3 linked regions of the Danio rerio genome follow. The protein of the gene in region 2 purifies or fractionates together with the protein of the main gene of each other region. This does not show direct contact. Links are inferred from orthologs where the notes say so. Each region holds a gene or a part of one and is shown on either strand. Other genes may lie near its edges. The genes, in order: snrnp70, prpf40a and ncbp3.

Evidence for each region.
Region 1: the proteins of prpf40a (region 2) and snrnp70 fractionate together in Homo sapiens (co-fractionation; 3 studies listed by BioGRID, with this or other methods). This does not show direct contact. The link is inferred for Danio rerio from reciprocal best matches to the Homo sapiens genes PRPF40A and SNRNP70.
Region 3: the proteins of prpf40a (region 2) and ncbp3 purify together in Homo sapiens (affinity purification with mass spectrometry; 3 studies listed by BioGRID and IntAct, counting the BioPlex papers as one, with this or other methods). This does not show direct contact. The link is inferred for Danio rerio from reciprocal best matches to the Homo sapiens genes PRPF40A and NCBP3.

The regions. Positions count from the first base shown.
Region 1 is NC_133178.1:30,720,763-30,726,180, reverse strand, and holds the end of snrnp70 (U1 small nuclear ribonucleoprotein 70 kDa), read right to left. Parts: exon of another isoform or gene 3,970-5,418; coding exon 3,868-3,969; intron 3,356-3,867; coding exon 3,256-3,355; intron 3,168-3,255; coding exon 2,357-3,167; 3' UTR 1,550-2,356; downstream 1-1,549. Other genes in the region: lin7b (protein lin-7 homolog B), read right to left, coding at 1,195-1,231. UniProt on the Homo sapiens protein: Component of the spliceosomal U1 snRNP, which is essential for recognition of the pre-mRNA 5' splice-site and the subsequent assembly of the spliceosome. SNRNP70 binds to the loop I region of U1-snRNA.
Region 2 is NC_133184.1:4,702,246-4,707,225, forward strand, and holds part of prpf40a (pre-mRNA-processing factor 40 homolog A), read left to right. Parts: coding exon 1-62; intron 63-861; coding exon 862-967; intron 968-2,925; coding exon 2,926-2,990; intron 2,991-3,100; coding exon 3,101-3,265; intron 3,266-4,980.
Region 3 is NC_133196.1:33,658,423-33,664,229, forward strand, and holds the end of ncbp3 (nuclear cap-binding protein subunit 3), read right to left. Parts: intron 4,921-5,807; coding exon 4,738-4,920; intron 2,086-4,737; coding exon 1,787-2,085; 3' UTR 1,182-1,786; downstream 1-1,181. UniProt on the Homo sapiens protein: Associates with NCBP1/CBP80 to form an alternative cap-binding complex (CBC) which plays a key role in mRNA export. NCBP3 serves as adapter protein linking the capped RNAs (m7GpppG-capped RNA) to NCBP1/CBP80.

The sequences.
Region 1 (5,418 bases), on a different chromosome or scaffold from region 2:
ATGGTTACTTTCATTCCCAATAAAATAAATAACTGTAAATTAAACCATTATTTTTGCACAAACAGAAAGGAAGATATTATTCTAGATTTGTTTAAATTATTATAAAGTTCGGGGACACACAGTGAGTAGCTCTGTCACCTCACAGCAAGAAGGTCGCTGGTTAAAGCCTATGCTTGGTCAGTTGGCTTTTCTCTGTGGAGTTTGCATGTTTTCCCTGTGATGGCGTGGGTGTTCTCCGGGTGCTGTGGCTTCCCAGACAGACCAAAGACATGCGCTATAGGTGAATTGGGTAAGCTGACTTGACTAGTCTGTGTGTGAATGGGTGTATGGGTGTTTCGCAGTGATGGGTTGCAGCTGAAAGGGCATCTGCTGCGTAGAACATATGCTGTATAAGTTGGCAGTTTATACTAATGTGGCGACTCCTGATTAATACCAGTCTTATAGGGATAGTTCACCCAAAGTCAAATGTTATGCGTTTCCAACATTCCTCAAAATACTACCTTTGGGTTCAACAAAAGTCAAAGAAACTCATAAAAGTTTAACCACTTGAGGGTTATGGAGTAAAAAATTTTTTCAAATTATTGTAAAGTTCAGTGTGCATTTTCTGTACATCATTGTACAAAATACAAACGGTTTCCCGAAAAAAAAACAAAAAAAAACATTTGGATTTCTTTATATTTAAGCAAAATATTTATAACACAATCTCGACAGTTAAAATGTTTTGATAGAACAAATTTTCTGTCCAATACTGTCAAATATTTTAAGTTTATCAGGAATGCAAAGCCAACTATCAGTGTTTTACAAGTGCCTTAAAAAATCAGAAACACCCAATAACCTGCTGTATCTATTAAGCTTTCAGTCCAAATCATCCACCAGTGATACAAAATAAGCCCGTGTATATAAAAATAGCATTCTGTCTTAAACACCCACATAGCCTTGTTTTGTTTGTCTTTTTATTATTATTCAATGAATTCTAAGCCTTACACAAACACTAGCACACCCTACTGTGGGGTGAGGGGGGCAAACATCCATTCATTCAGATTATGGAGACTGTGCGCCTCTCAGTGGTCACTGCTGCTGCTTGTTTAACAAACACAAGAACCAGCGAGTGCGTTAGCAACGCTATCAGCTTTAATATTTGCACAACGCCACTCTCCGTGGCTTGCACACAACAATGAGAACGGAGTAAATTACCTCTTTCCAAGCACAGCGGTTCTGTCATCGCCGCCATGTCCACCTCTTTCCCCGTATGATAATACGATGACATCATGAAGACTGCTGCAGTGGAGGACTGAACCGCTTTCAGCGACGTTATACCAAATTAATATTTCAAAACAAAATTTGAGATGAGCTTTAAGTATGTAAAAACAATATTGAAGGCGCAGACGATCCAGCTCTGATGGCGAGATGCGCGGGTCTGAGCGCTCGTACAGAGCGGCAGCTTACTGGATGACGCAAGACCACACGTCACAGGCGCGAGTTCAAGTCGTTTTGCAACCCACAAGCTCGTTTAACACCGTAAGATTTAAATAAATAACCAAAACACTACTTCGGCAATAAAAAAGTATTTATTCAAGAATTTAAAGCAGAACAAATACGACCAGATACAAACTGAAAAAACCTATACATAAAATTAAGAGCAATTTCTGTGAGACCATGGCAGACATTCCCATTTAAAAGCAGGTGTCATATTTTCTGCCTTTGTTCCTGCTGTAAAATAAGGGGCAACTGTACGATTTGTAAACGATCCATGTACAGGACCAAATATGAAACAAAATGTACATGATGAAAATAAAGTAGCAGAGAAATTAAAGGGAAGACCAATACAAAAAGAATGTTACAGATAAATGTACTAACCCATGAAACGTTACTATTGTACTCCGCAAACATCTATGAAAATGGACATAACAGTACTAAAACAACCCCAATAACTCCAACAAACAAATACTTATCTTTGACTGAAACTACACTGTATTATAATACAGTGCTTCAGTCAAGAAATCCCCTCCCAGTTATGGTCATTTGATATCAAAATAATGTTAGACAGGGAATTCAAATGCATCATTAAGCTAATTATTTACTGTAGTCCAAGCCCCAGAAATAGGTTTACCAGAGCTAAAAACATAAAAAAGCTCACAGTTTAGCTACATAATGTTTATTTTAACAATAGGACGCTTCTTACCAGGGAGACACTAAGCTCTCTCAGTGACAGCTGTTATTAGTACAGTATAATACTCACACGCTGTGGACAGTGCAAGCAAAGGGTGGAGGCATTAAATAATGGTTGAAGATATTTGTGGATCAAATCAACATTACATCTAGATAACCTACAATCATTCACACAACGATGGCACTTTTAGTACTCATCACCCTGGGCCTCCATCCTGTACCCATTTTCATTGGAGGCATAGCCCTCTCCCGACTGCATGGAATCCTGATCCATCATCATCATCCTCATCCCATCCTGTGAACCTTCTTCTGATTGCGGTGGCACTGGCTCTTCACCTTCTTCACCTCCATTACCCAAACCCTCATGATCTCCGGAGGAGGTAATGTGTCGATCTTCCCTTCGCTCCCCACGGTCCCGATCTCCACGGTCTCGCTTATGGTCACGATCTCTATCCCTGTCCCGCCTTCTGTCCCGATCCCTTTCTCTATCTTTATCTCGATGGCTGCGCTTCCTATCACGATCTCTTTCCCTGTCTTTGTCTCGATCCCTCCCCCTTTCCTCTCCTTCAGGTCCTCCCTCCTCACCTCGCCCTGGTTCACCACCCAAGGGGTCCTCTATGCCCCTATCTCCCCCTTCAGGCATCATGCCATCAACTAGCCCGCCCATGCCTTCCTCCCCTCCTTCTGCACCTTTTCCTCTTTCCCTGTCTCTCTTCCTATCCCTGCTCCTGCTCCTTCTCTTGCGGTCTCTATCTCGATCCCGGTCTCTACTCCTCTCTCTGCTTTCTCCAGCTCCAGCACCACCTCGTTCTCTTTCCCTCTCTCGTCGTCGGCTGCTGCCCCCAGCCTCATCCCCTGCAGCGGCCCTCTCACGCTCATGAGACCTAGTGTGCCTGCGTCTCTCTCTGGACCGAGAACGTCTGCGTTCTCCACGTTCCTTGTCTCGATCACGTTCCCGACTGCGTTCACGGCGTTCACCACGATCCCGATCGCGATCACTGCAAAATAAGACAGAGGTAAGGCCGCGTAAGTTCAGAAGATGAAAAAGCACCAACTAAAATTCTAACCGCCTCTCACACAGCGTACCTTCCAATTGGTCGGTCATCATAACGAGATGTGTCGTCTCTGCCAGAGTGCTTGATGTTGACATCTGCGCCTCCTCGCCTTGTGCCACCAAGACCCCCACCTGGAGAGTGAAGAAAAGAAATTTGGTTCAAGTAGAAAGTTTTGGGACCCAAAGGCCATGCTTGGGATAGGCAAGGTCCTCGAAGCCCACTGATAATACCCATGCAATAATATTGTTCAAAAGATCAAAGATGGAGCTGAACTCTGCAGGACAGTAGACCTTGAGCCAGATTTTGCCTGCCTTGATTTATCAAACCTATTTGCTACAAGATTAGCGGTCATTCTTGCTTTTGGTAGAGAATGATTCACTTGAAACTAAAAACCTCAAAGAAAGCTCTTTGAGGCATACTAAAGCCATTCCTAACCAAACTACAGAAGCCAACATTTAAAGGCGTTAAAAACCCATTTTTCAATAGTTTAGGACCAAAGTCGTCCTAAACTATTGAACAACATCCATTCTTGTCTTGGGACATTTTAGAAAAACTGAATCAAATGTTTTCAATACTTCAAACTGGACCTCCAGGCCTAGAAACAAACATGTGACAAGAGTGGGGGGAAAATAGAAATGCTTACCAAGTCGCCGGGGGCGCCATCCTTTTACCGTTCGTCCTCTTTCAACATCAACAAGCACTCTACGACCATCGATCTTTTTGCCATCCGCATGCTTATAAGCAGCTAGAAGAGTTGATAGATGAGCAATAGAAAAGTGGAGATTGAGAGGAAGGGAATAAAGGGGAGCACAGAGGGAAAAAAAGACACAGACAATGAGAACCATGAAGACACAGAACAGTATTTGCTACTACATACCTTGAATTTGGGATGAACTCCATTCAAAACATTAATCTATCAGAAGTCACACGCTTACCTCCAAATGGATAAGACACCAGGAATGATAAACTGACAATGCTGCCATCCATTTTATACATTTCCTCTACCTCAGTGATTACCTTCAACACCATTACCTTGATGATTAGATGCTTCTATTCACTTTAACCCATAATTATAAATAAATAAGTAAATAAATAAAAAGTAACCTACGTTTAATGAATAGATGCATATTGTTTTTAAGATCTTCCAGAGTGCACACATTGGGAAAAAAATTCTGTTAATAATTTTAAATGACTACTATACAAATTATAACTGAGGCAGCTCTAATGCAGTGCAGGAGAAATCCCAAAAATCAGCAAGCTCTGTTCTGAACAGCTTCGGATCACTTAAGTCATTTTAATTTCTATAATATCTTTGAGTGATCCACACTGACATTTTTGTTGTCATTAAATCACTAATAATAGCATCTTTAAAAAAGGCACTTGGTGAACACATCTTGCATTAAAAAGCAAACTTCTCATCCTCAAATGTCTTCAAAACATTCATTCACATTCAAACTGAATTTGAGCATTAAAAGCACCATTCACACTCACGCCACACCACTCCACACCGCACCACACGGGAAAAAAACATTTAGCAAAGCTTTACTTCTAGCAATTGCATTATTTATAATACAAAGAAGCTAGAAGCACCACTTTTAAAGTTACAGACTTCTGACATACTTCAGTATGGCCAATAAGCTTTCTCCTTCTGCTGATCTGAAATAAGTCTAAGACCTTAAATATCTAGGCCCTTAGTAATTAGTCATTATCCAAGTTATACCACATTACCTGGAGTTGCTATCTTACCATAACACCTGGCCAAGGATGGAAGTCCTTGATGAAAAACCCCACGAAACGTAGCCTGTCGATCCCAGCAGCCTCGAATCAAAATGTTCTTCAATATATTTGAAACTGTGATCCAATTTTTTATTTTTATTTACTAAAACGGGACAAGCTTGAACTCTTAGAATTAGGGATCCAATCCTTCAACAATGGAAAATCCACGAAGCTACTCCTGTCTGCACTGTCGATGAAGTTCAGATGGAACCCATCGTGAGGGCCTTACCATGAAACCCTTCAGTACTTTCACACATACCTGCCCTGACGTCAACAAGAGGGCCTTACCAACAACCCTCAGACTACCATACCAAACTAGAGGGGCTTACCAAACACCCTCAGCGCACCTACCCACAAGAGGGGCTTACCATTCACCCTCATTTAAATCAGTTAACAGAGGGCCTTACCACAACCCTCA
Region 2 (4,980 bases):
GTCAGCAGTGATGTCGCTGTGAACTCCACTGAGGAAACGCCCAGCGTGGAGACCCAGCCTAGGTGATGAATGCACATATATTTGATACCAAGAAATGAACTTCACAAAGGATCATTATTCTGAATCATTCCATATTAGGCTAAAATGATTGTTTATTTAAATGAGGAAGATGTTATTTTCCTTATTTGTGACACTGTTTCTGAATACAATTAAAAGGGATGGTTTTTCTCACGCTCGTATGTTTTCAAACATATTTTTTCTGTTGAAATCACAAGAAGATATTTTGAAGAAAGCTGGAAAGTTGGAAAAACAAGTGCTATGAAAATCAATAGCTGCGTTTCCACTGTCATGCCTAAAGTGAGCAAGCCAGGGCCAGTTGCGTTTCCATCCAAAAATGCGAATAAACTTTATGCGCAACACTGGATTATCGCATAAAAGTTGTGCGAATGAAGCATCGTTTCCATCCAACGAGTCAAAGCGAACAAAATCGTCACTTCCTGATTAACCAAATATCAACAGTAAAAACTGCTTGAAATAATGCAAAAACAACCAATTTACACTTTTTAGTGAAATATAGGTGTTCTAATAGTGTTTTTAGCAGTGTGGGACACATACGACTGTCAACAGCTCAAAAAATGTGTTTTGGTGTTTCGTGACCCTTTAATGTAGTCGAACATCTTTCACTTAATCTAATCATATCCCACTGGATGAAATGCTTGAATATTTGATGCTACAAATTGACTCACTAAGTCACATGACGCTTTTTGAAATGTTTTGTGGCATAAAAGACCAAATGCTAATTTCCATTTGAAAAGATAATTGTGTTGAGGGTATTCATTCATGGGTTCATTTCTATTGCAGCAATGACGTTTCAAAGGAGGAGAGACCTGAGCTGGTGAAGAAAGTTTACAAGTGGAATACAAAAGAGGAGGCGAAGCAGGCCTTTAAAGAACTCCTGAAAGAAAAGGTATTTTTTTTCCTTCTCTCCCCTGTGAAGTGAGGAGGGAGGTGTTGATATTCCGGCTGGGTCTTTCTAAATTTAGTGTGTTTTAATTTGGCACACAAAGTGCTCCTGTGAGAGCCACGGCTGTTTAATTGCTGTGAGTGTGATTAGACTGAAGTGAGTGAAACAGAAGACTGTGGAATCGCACGCTTCACAGACCCCTCACAGCCTTCCAGAAAGACACGCTCATTACGGATAACGAACTTTCTGATTCATGATGTCAACATGGAAATTTACCTCTGCGAGCCTTTTTATCACACTTTTTTCTGTTTTCATTCTTCTGCTTTTCTCTCCTCTCTGTGGATCTACATTTATGTTTTGTAATAAGCTTTTAAATATCAACAATAGCTATTTATTAATGCTATTAGACATCTCACCTTTCATTTCAATACATGCAGCCTAGAGCTGCACAATTAATCGTTAAAAGATCGCGATCTCGATTCGACCCCCTAGACTATCTTAATCCAGTATTTCTACGATTCTGTCAATCATATTTTCAAGTTCAGGAGAGAAGAAAAGGCGGCTGCACGAGTCTTTTCACTGTTTCACACACGTTGCTCAGTGACATTGACACCTCCAAATGATGTTGAATGAGTCACATACTGAATTTATAAGGTATAATTCACCTAAAAATGTAATTTTTGTCTTAATATAATGATGCTTTCGCAATCAGGAAATTACACGTGACGTGTGCTGCTGACCGTGAGCTGTTATCACAAAGAGGGCGCACACTCTACTTAATGATAGACGCGCGCTCTACTTAATGATAGACGCGCGCGTCTACTTTAGTGAACAGAACCTGCATATGTTGCGAGTAACGGGTAATACACTTGCAAATAATATTCAGTTTTTGGCACAGAGTGATCGGTTGGGAGCCGCGCGCGAAGTATGAACAAGCACTTAGCAGTCAGAATGAAACTGAAAGTGTGCACTTCATTTAAATGATCATATCGCATTTAAGAGTTATGATTACGACAAGCATTTGATATGTTTTTTTCTTTCATAGCGAACCCACAGTTGTGCATGAAAATAAAGGTTTACAATGTCAGTATAACTACTCTAGCCTATATATTGTTGAATATAATCTGATAATGGCAAATGTCTGATTTTACCAGTGAATAAATTTGTCTAATGTGACAGATTGCAAGCATATATCTCAAACATAATAATTCAACATCAGAATTATTATAAGTAGAATAGAATTATTTATAGAAACCAGTAGACCTACACATAATATTATTATCGATGTTGTGCCATATGTTTGTTTTTACCATACCTTTATTTTACATCTACAGAATCGTGAGAAAATCATGATCTTTATTTTAAGCAAAAAAAAAATCGTGATTCTCATTTTAGCCAGAATCGTGCAGCTCTAATGCAGCCATGAACATAATCAAGACGCTTAATTGTTCTTTATGAAATCTAAATGATTTATTAGCATAAACAGCCCTGAGTGAGCCTATTCTGCTCTGGGAGTGGGAGTGTTGAACTGGAACTTGAAATGTTTGAAGTGGCCTTTGTTATTAAAGTCGAGTTGACGTCAACGCATTTTGCAACATGCCACAATTTGCAGTTGATTTGCAGGAAACATGTGTTTACATGCTGTTTGACAGCACACACTGCAAAACAATGCAACAGTCAAAAAGGCCAAAGATAAATCTTCATTCATTCTGGACCACCCCTTTACCATGTAAATCATTCGCGCTTGACGCTTCATCCTCATCTGGTGTGAACGCAGCATTAGAGTGAAACTGATTTTCGTTCAAACTAATTGATGCAAACTACACATGGTTAATGGACAATTTATTTATCGCCCAGCCATGATAAAAATGCACTTTATTCTTCCCAATCAAAATATTTCTTCCAACCCTGTGTTGTGTTTTTTGTAACTTTTCTTGTTTTTCCCTCTTTGTGGCCTACAGGGCGTTTCTTCCAATGCATCATGGGAGCAGGCAATGAAGCTGATAATTAATGACCCTCGTTACAGGTATCCAAATACTGCACAGCATTATTGGCATTTATTAGCGTTTACATCCTGCGCCGTTAAACAAATTTGTGCGATTCTTCACTGACGTCCCTTTCTCTGTGTGTGTGCAGTGCTCTGCCAAAGCTCAGTGAGAAGAAACAGGCGTTCAATGCTTATAAAGTCCAGACAGAGAAAGAGGAAAAGGAAGAAGCCAGAATAAAATACAAGGAGTCTAAAGAGACTTTCCAACGCTTCCTGGAGAACCACGAGAAGATGACGTCAACCACACGATACAAGTGAGTGTATATACATTATATACATGTAACTTTATATACAACTGTCTGAATAATGGACACTGTAAGATTTGGTAATGTTAAAGTCTCTTGTCACCACATTTAATCCAAATACAAAAAAAAAAAAAGAAAGACATTAAGACATTAACTTGCCATTACTATATATAAAAATTAAAGAGCCCCTGTTATGTTTTTTTTTTTTTTGTTTGTTTTTTAAATGACCTTCTATGTAGTGTGTAAAACAGCTCTGAGTGTTGTGAAATATCCAGCTAAGGCTCAAATCTGAATGTGCACAGTGTTTAAAACTATTGATTCATCTATAAAAGAGTTGACTCATAGTGCTTTAAATTAATCGTCTTGATAACGAGTCTTTAGGCGTTTTGACTGAACTTAAGCCCAGCCAATTTGTTGCGCTCGCAAACACGGGAAAATTTAACCCCCTGGCCCACAAACACTGCAGCAGATCCTGGTTGAATCAAGTCATGAAGACGCTGTGCTCAGCTTGATATTATTGGAAGTATGAGAGGAAAGTTAGTGTTATTTTCTATACACAAAGATGAAACTGTGAAGAGTCAGTGATTGGAAGTTTATTTTTGCAAAAATACCTCAGCATCATAGCCCGAGCTGTGTGCTGTGTTCCCGTCATTTTTCTGACCAGTGCTACAGCAATCTACACCCTTACAAAGGGGTATTCAACAGCCGTTTGTTAAAGGAAGGATCAGAAAAGACTATTGATGTGTGGGACTTTGGGCATTGGAGCTTGACAGGAACTTTACAGTACACAGTTCATAGATCAGTTTCGATTAAAAGCGATTAAAATGGCTGCCTCCTTGTTTTCTCTAGCTTGCAAATTATGTATTTAATTGTGTTTTGTTACTTGTAACTGCGCGTGCTGTATCAGGTTAACTCTTTATATTCTCATATCGCGTCTAATGCCACATTGAAAACGTGCCACGTGCCTCTTTGTTTACTGATTTAAATGCGTTTGTGAGCTCGCGTTCCATTGCCGTTTGTCATTGCTATGGCCATCATCAGCTGTTCCTACACATGTGAAGCGGTCAATTTTCAAATAGTTTAGCTTTGGGCATTGTGTTGATTATTGCTGAATATGTGTCACTGTTTTTACTTAGCATTATGCTAGTGTTCAACTGCACTGCTTTAATGCACTTTTACATCGGGCTCGCACACATACCTGCCAACATTTGTCCCTGAAAATCCGGGAGACCGGGGGGGTTAGGTTTGGCGGTTAAGTGTCTGAATAACACTGAGATCAGTGTACTGTGGTGTTAGTAACTACTATGAAGCGTGTTTCGGGCGGCCGCTGCGATCGGATCTGGGATGATTGAAATTACGGGAGTTTTCCAGGAGAAATAACAAAATAGGAGGGTGGCGGAAGATAGGTCTGAAATATGGAAGACTCCTGGGAAAAACAGGACTGTTGGCAGGTATGCTCACACACATACTATGCACTTTGACTACTTCAATATTGTTGATAAGCCGTGGTGGCATTTCTCTAAACGATGTTGACCAATCGCAAGAGACTGTCATCGGTCCAATCAGCGCAGATTAGGTTTGCTCTAAGGAGATAAATAGGTAAAAATAGGGATATTTAGGGATAATTAGGTAAAAATAAATGCATAGTATAAGACAATGAAAGTATTTTTTGACCTTGTATGCATATCAGCCTGTTGTTGGAGTCCATTACAACCAAAATATTA
Region 3 (5,807 bases), on a different chromosome or scaffold from region 2:
TGATTTTTTTTCATTCAACCTGTTTTTCTTTTGTTAAACACGAAAAATATATATTATGAAGAATGTTAGAAAGGAGTACCCAATGTAGTTTTTCCATAATCCTATTTTAATGCACATTTTTAAATTTAGCATCAGATGTGTGATTGATATGCCCAAAAACAACCTTAAACTGCAAAAAAGTTGTTATGCCTGCTTTTGGTGATTTTTGGCTTGTACAAACGAAAACAATCAATGTAAATAACTAAACAGAATCGCATTCAAACCAAATAAACATGGCCATAGCTGGCATTAAATCCTATTGTTACTAATTGCAGTAGTGTCTCCATTATGATTGCCTTCAATTATTTAATGTTGGTAACCAAATTACCAAGACTGTCGTCAGCTTCTCAAACATCTTGTTACAAACACAATGGGCTATATGCACACAGACTTTACATTTTCAGCCAGGGAGCCCATAAGGGTTTCTGGTGAACTGTCTTTCCATTACAAAATTGTGAAGTTTAAGATCTGATTTCTTTAAAAATTAGTGCTCTTCATTGCCTATTAGATATACAAATTAAAGTGGGTCTCAGATCGTACAAGAGGCACTGCATTAAAATCCACTTTCCATGTCTTTAAAATGACAAATTATTTTACCCCAGTATTTTCAATGGAATTTCTGCACTAGCCTGTTGCTGACAGCACTAGTGATTACAACGGTCTTTCATCTCGATTTACACTTGAACAACTAAATGAATGCTAACTGACTGTATTGCAATTACATTACAACAGCGATGCTGTAAAAACAACCTTGTGAAATTGAAAATAGTCACATTCTTGTCTTAGGATAATTTTTAAAAACTGTTTTGATCATCTTCAAATGTTGACTTCTGTATAGTGTAGTCAACATTTGAAGTGGATCAAAATCTTTCATCAAAGTTGTCCTAAAACTAATGAACAATAGGCATTCGTGTCTAAGGACAACTTTGAAAAACTTTTTTGATCCACTTCAAACGTTGATGATCGTATATACACAAAGGTTTTGAAATCATTTAAAAAAATGATGAGAACATTTTTGCGCTAAGTATTTCAGATCATTTCTATTATTTTTTTTTTCAGTAACAATTAACAAAATGTTTGTGTTATTTTAAATAAAGATGTCATATGGTGGAAATACAAATTTCTAGACCCAATCTGATATAAAAAAAAACAACAACTTTTATTCAACATACAATGCTGCTCTTGTATGTTTCACTGACCACATGTATTTAGGGAATGTGAACCATTCATTTGAGGGAGCATTATTACATTGGCTACATTATGTGCTATTCTTTTTCGGGACTGTGTAAGATAAAGCACTGATCCATCCAGGTCCAGTATGTGTGAGTGGATATTATAATGCTTGTAAAAAAACACACCATTATTTTCTTCACATCATCAAATCCACAGTGATAATGATAAAACATGAGTCATGACTGGATTAAAAAAAAAAAGTATTGCTAAAAGGCAATCGGATCACATTGCTTGAATTCATGAGAAATGCTTCACTGTGTATTTGAAATGGGCTCTGATTGTATGTCAAAATATAATTTATTTTCTTTTGAAGGAAAAAAAAAAAACATGACAGCTTCATCCTCTGCCTTTTCTTTGAGAAGTCAAAACAAAACCCTAACCTGCACCTTGGTTTCTGGAGGAAAAGTGTGACGTTTCTAGACTGATGAGAGTTGGGATTTTGGGAATGTTTAAGTTTGGATATCAGGGTCTCTTGGCCCAGTCTATAGATGCCCTCCAACTCTCAGTGAGTGAGTCAGGAGTCGCTGTCGGAGCCGTTGCTGCTGTCTCGACTGATCTCGATCTGCAGCGACGGAAGGTTGTCCAGTCTGCTTTTCTTCATCTTGTTGGACTGCTGCTCTTTCTGCTTGATCATTGCACCCCACATCTTCTGGAGATGAGAGTCGTCCTCTTCATCCTCGTCCTCCACTCCGTCAGAATCTTCATCCTTTCTTCGTCTTATTCCTCTGGAGGAAGATGCTCGTGATGAAGGCTTGTCTTCGTCTCCGCTGCCGCTGTCCTTGTGAGACGGGCCGAGGCGGCTCCACAAACCACCTTAAGATACAAATGTTATGGTTTGTAAATGAGTCATAATGAGTGTTGAGCAATAACATGTTAAGGCTGATTTATACTTCTGCGTCAAGCCCACGCGTATGTTATGGCGCAGCCTACTTAACGACGAATAGCCCTACTCAAAAAATTTAACTACACGTTGCAACAACGCGTAGCGCAAGCTCTGTGATTGGTCGGCTTGGTAGCGCTGATGAGCCTAGGCGGGACAGAGAGCCGCGTGATCGATGCGAGCCCGATAGAGCGATTGTTTACAAGTGTGGAGTCCCGTAAAGGAGCTCTGGGTGGAAGGTTTTTTTTTGTGTTTACCTCATAGTTAAAATTGTTGCACGTCCGCCGCTTCCTGCCTCAAAATAAGCGAGTTTCAGCCACTTGTACATTCAGGAAGCATTCAGAAAAAACAAAACACCAGCGAAGAAACTCGACACTTAGGAATATTAACGACTCACTGCCAACTAGCGTTTTGGAAGTGTTAATGCAGAATAACAGAGACAGAGCGCAGAAGTATAAATGCACAGCTACGCGCGTTGCATGCGCCGTCGGTTACGCCGGTCACTTGACGTAGAAGTATAAACCAGGCTTTACTAGCAATGTGTTACTGTAACGGCATTACTTCTGACAGTAACTAATGCAGTAACGCATTACTTTTTAAATATAGTAACTCTGTTATCGTTAAAATACAATGCGTTTGTCCGTGACTCAATTAATTAATTAATGAATCGTGAATTAATTAATTTTGGCTGCACTCTAGCCTACATCTTTCTGTTTACAGTGACGACACATTGGTGGATGCTAACCAACACTGCAAAGAAGACGCATCGTGTACGAGACACCAGACTTTACAAAAGTAAAGACAAAGCAGAGATACCAGCTGCACGCGAGAGGCAAAGTGTATACGCGAGATAGACCGAATGCAAGCGAGGTAGGCTGACTGTGTGCACAAGAGACTGAGACTATTACCGTTACTATTAATAATACTTATTACTAATACTTCTGTTTGTTGTTACAAATAAATAAGCACAGGTGGTATCTGTATTACAAAATTGATTATTAGAGACAGAGACACAGTTCGGTTACATTTCAGAACGTGTTATTAAAATGTATAACGTTGTATTGCTCAGAAACAATTCTGTGATTTTTTAAATTGTTTTACACATTTTTATAGCAGTTACACAACAGCAGATTTTGCTTTGACATACTACATTTTATTTGTGGTTAGTTTAAAAATTGCCGATAGATTTCATTTTTGAGCAGCTGTTATGTTATTGTTTTGTTTAAAATGCATAACATTTATGGACGTCTATAATAGTACTTTCACCAAATTGATTCTGAATGATAATTCAGATTACTTTTATTTATTATTTCGTTATTAAGGTTGTTGTGCCTGTTGTATATTGTCGCTATTTTCATACTCAAGCTTTGAAGGAACGTTTAAGGGTTAAATACAAACATTTATGATGCGGATGTAACTTTAGTCTTTGCTTTTTTGTTTTGAAATATATGCTTCAGCTGGTTTATAATCTTGTGATATTTTATTTTTGTGCTGCTGGTCTGACTTCAATAAATCAGTGTTTAAAAATTACTTTTTATTTAAGTTTGTCTTGTGTTTTAGTTGTAGGAATGCAGATTAATTAAAATTGTAAAGCTGATCAACAGTGTATTCTCTATGCAGAACTGCAGTGACGTTATGAGGGCATTAATGGAAGCATTACAAATGTTCTTTGGAAAAGTATCTCAAAAATTACCATTAAGAGTAATGCATTTATTTTTTTGGTGTAAGTAATCAATAAAGTAAATACTTTTTGAATAAAGTAACAAGTAACTGTAACTAGTTACTATTTTTCAGTAACTGGTCATAAACAAACACTTGATAACTTAAGTCCTAACTTTCAACAAACAAACTAATTTTTTTTTAAATCCCCAGTTTATTAGTGTTAAGATGTTTATCCCAAAATTGATCACATAAAGTGATCCATGAACTCCACACATACATAAGTTATTTTATTTAGTAAGTTTATTCAGAACCACTCTTAGGAAATTTTATTAACATTTGTCCATACAAAGCCCTTTTTAAAATGGACCATCTTGCTCAAAAATTATTAAATAGGGTTGGATATCATTAGAATGTTATTGATTCTGATTCTAATTTCGGTTCAGCCTAATAATCTTTTATTAAAATAGATACATTTAAAAAAGGGGGTTTTATTCTTTAATAAACAATCCGAGAATACCAAAGGACTCTTATTTTGAAATGTATGTCTTATTACCCCCAGCTGCTCTTTCAAAATGAGTGAAATATGTACTCTTGCAACCATTTTCACATCACAATTTAAATGTTTTTCTGTTACCATGTTTTTACCATGCTACCACATTTCCAAAATTACAAACTTAACAAAATTTTTATTTACACAAGAACCACAAAAATGCTAAATGTATACAATCTTCCCAACACTGATGAGAAATCTCATTTGAAATTTATGAGAACATGTAATCAGTAAAAATACCATAATTATTGAGGCCTTTGGAATTAAACCAATTTACTAAAATGTTTTTTTTTGTCTTCATTACTCCAATGTTATATTAGTATTGGAGAGCAAATATGAAGAGAACTGAGAGGAGTGCTGAATTGAGGTGTACCTGTTTTCTTGTCTTTGGGGGGTTCAGAGAAGAGACTGCGATTGTCATGTTTAGCTACACCGAGTCTGCTGCGTACGTCGCTCAAAGGCTCTCTCCGAGACGCCGTCTTTCTGGAGATCACAGGAGACACAGAGCGACGCCTCTCTGGGGAGTGTGGTCTCTTGCCTAATCTCTGTCTCACATCTGTGGAGAGGAAAAAAACAAAAAACAGGTGAGTCTCTTCCACATTTGCTCATGATGAAAACTGATAACAATTCAAAGCCTGTATACTATTTTCCTGGCCCAATTTTTCATTATGGTTTCCACTTTTTCCATGACAAGCAGGTTTAAGGACATTTTAAAGCATATTTAATTTTAAAATCAATAATTTTTGTAATTTACAACGCCTGCTTATGCAGCGACATGAAAGTCCTCACTGTACTAGGCATGGGCCGGTATATGTTTCTGACGGTATGATAACCTTGAACAAAAATATCATGTAGTCATGGTATCAAGGTATTGTGATTATTACTCTACAATAAGTTCTTTTTAAATGCCTGGGGAAAAAAAAAACAATGAAACCCAGCGTATGGTGATGTCTATACGTTCCAGACTTCATGCAAATAATTTGCAACCAAGTATTTAAAATTAATTTTTATTTGGAATTATTATTCTCTCCAATTACTTTTGGTCCCTTTACAAGTGGGAGGCAAATATGCAAACTGTTATAATTCCTACATCATTCACCTGATTTGGATGTAAATACCCTCAACTTAAAGCTGACAGTCTGCAGTTAAAGCACATCTTCTTTTAATTTCAAATCCATTGTGTTGGTGTATGGTGCCAAAAATGTTAGAATTGTGTTGATGTCCAAATATTTATGGACCTAACTGTACCTTAGCAATGGTATAACAGAAAACGTTAATGGTTTTAAAACCTTGACTTTTCCAAATCGTGGTAAACCTTGAAACAGGTTCTCATCCCATGCCTACACTGTACTTTGACATCTTTAATGTAAATATAAAGTGTATCTGAAATGTTGAGTAATGATTATGTTGTGAATGTCATTTTTAAAAATGTAGAAATTAAAC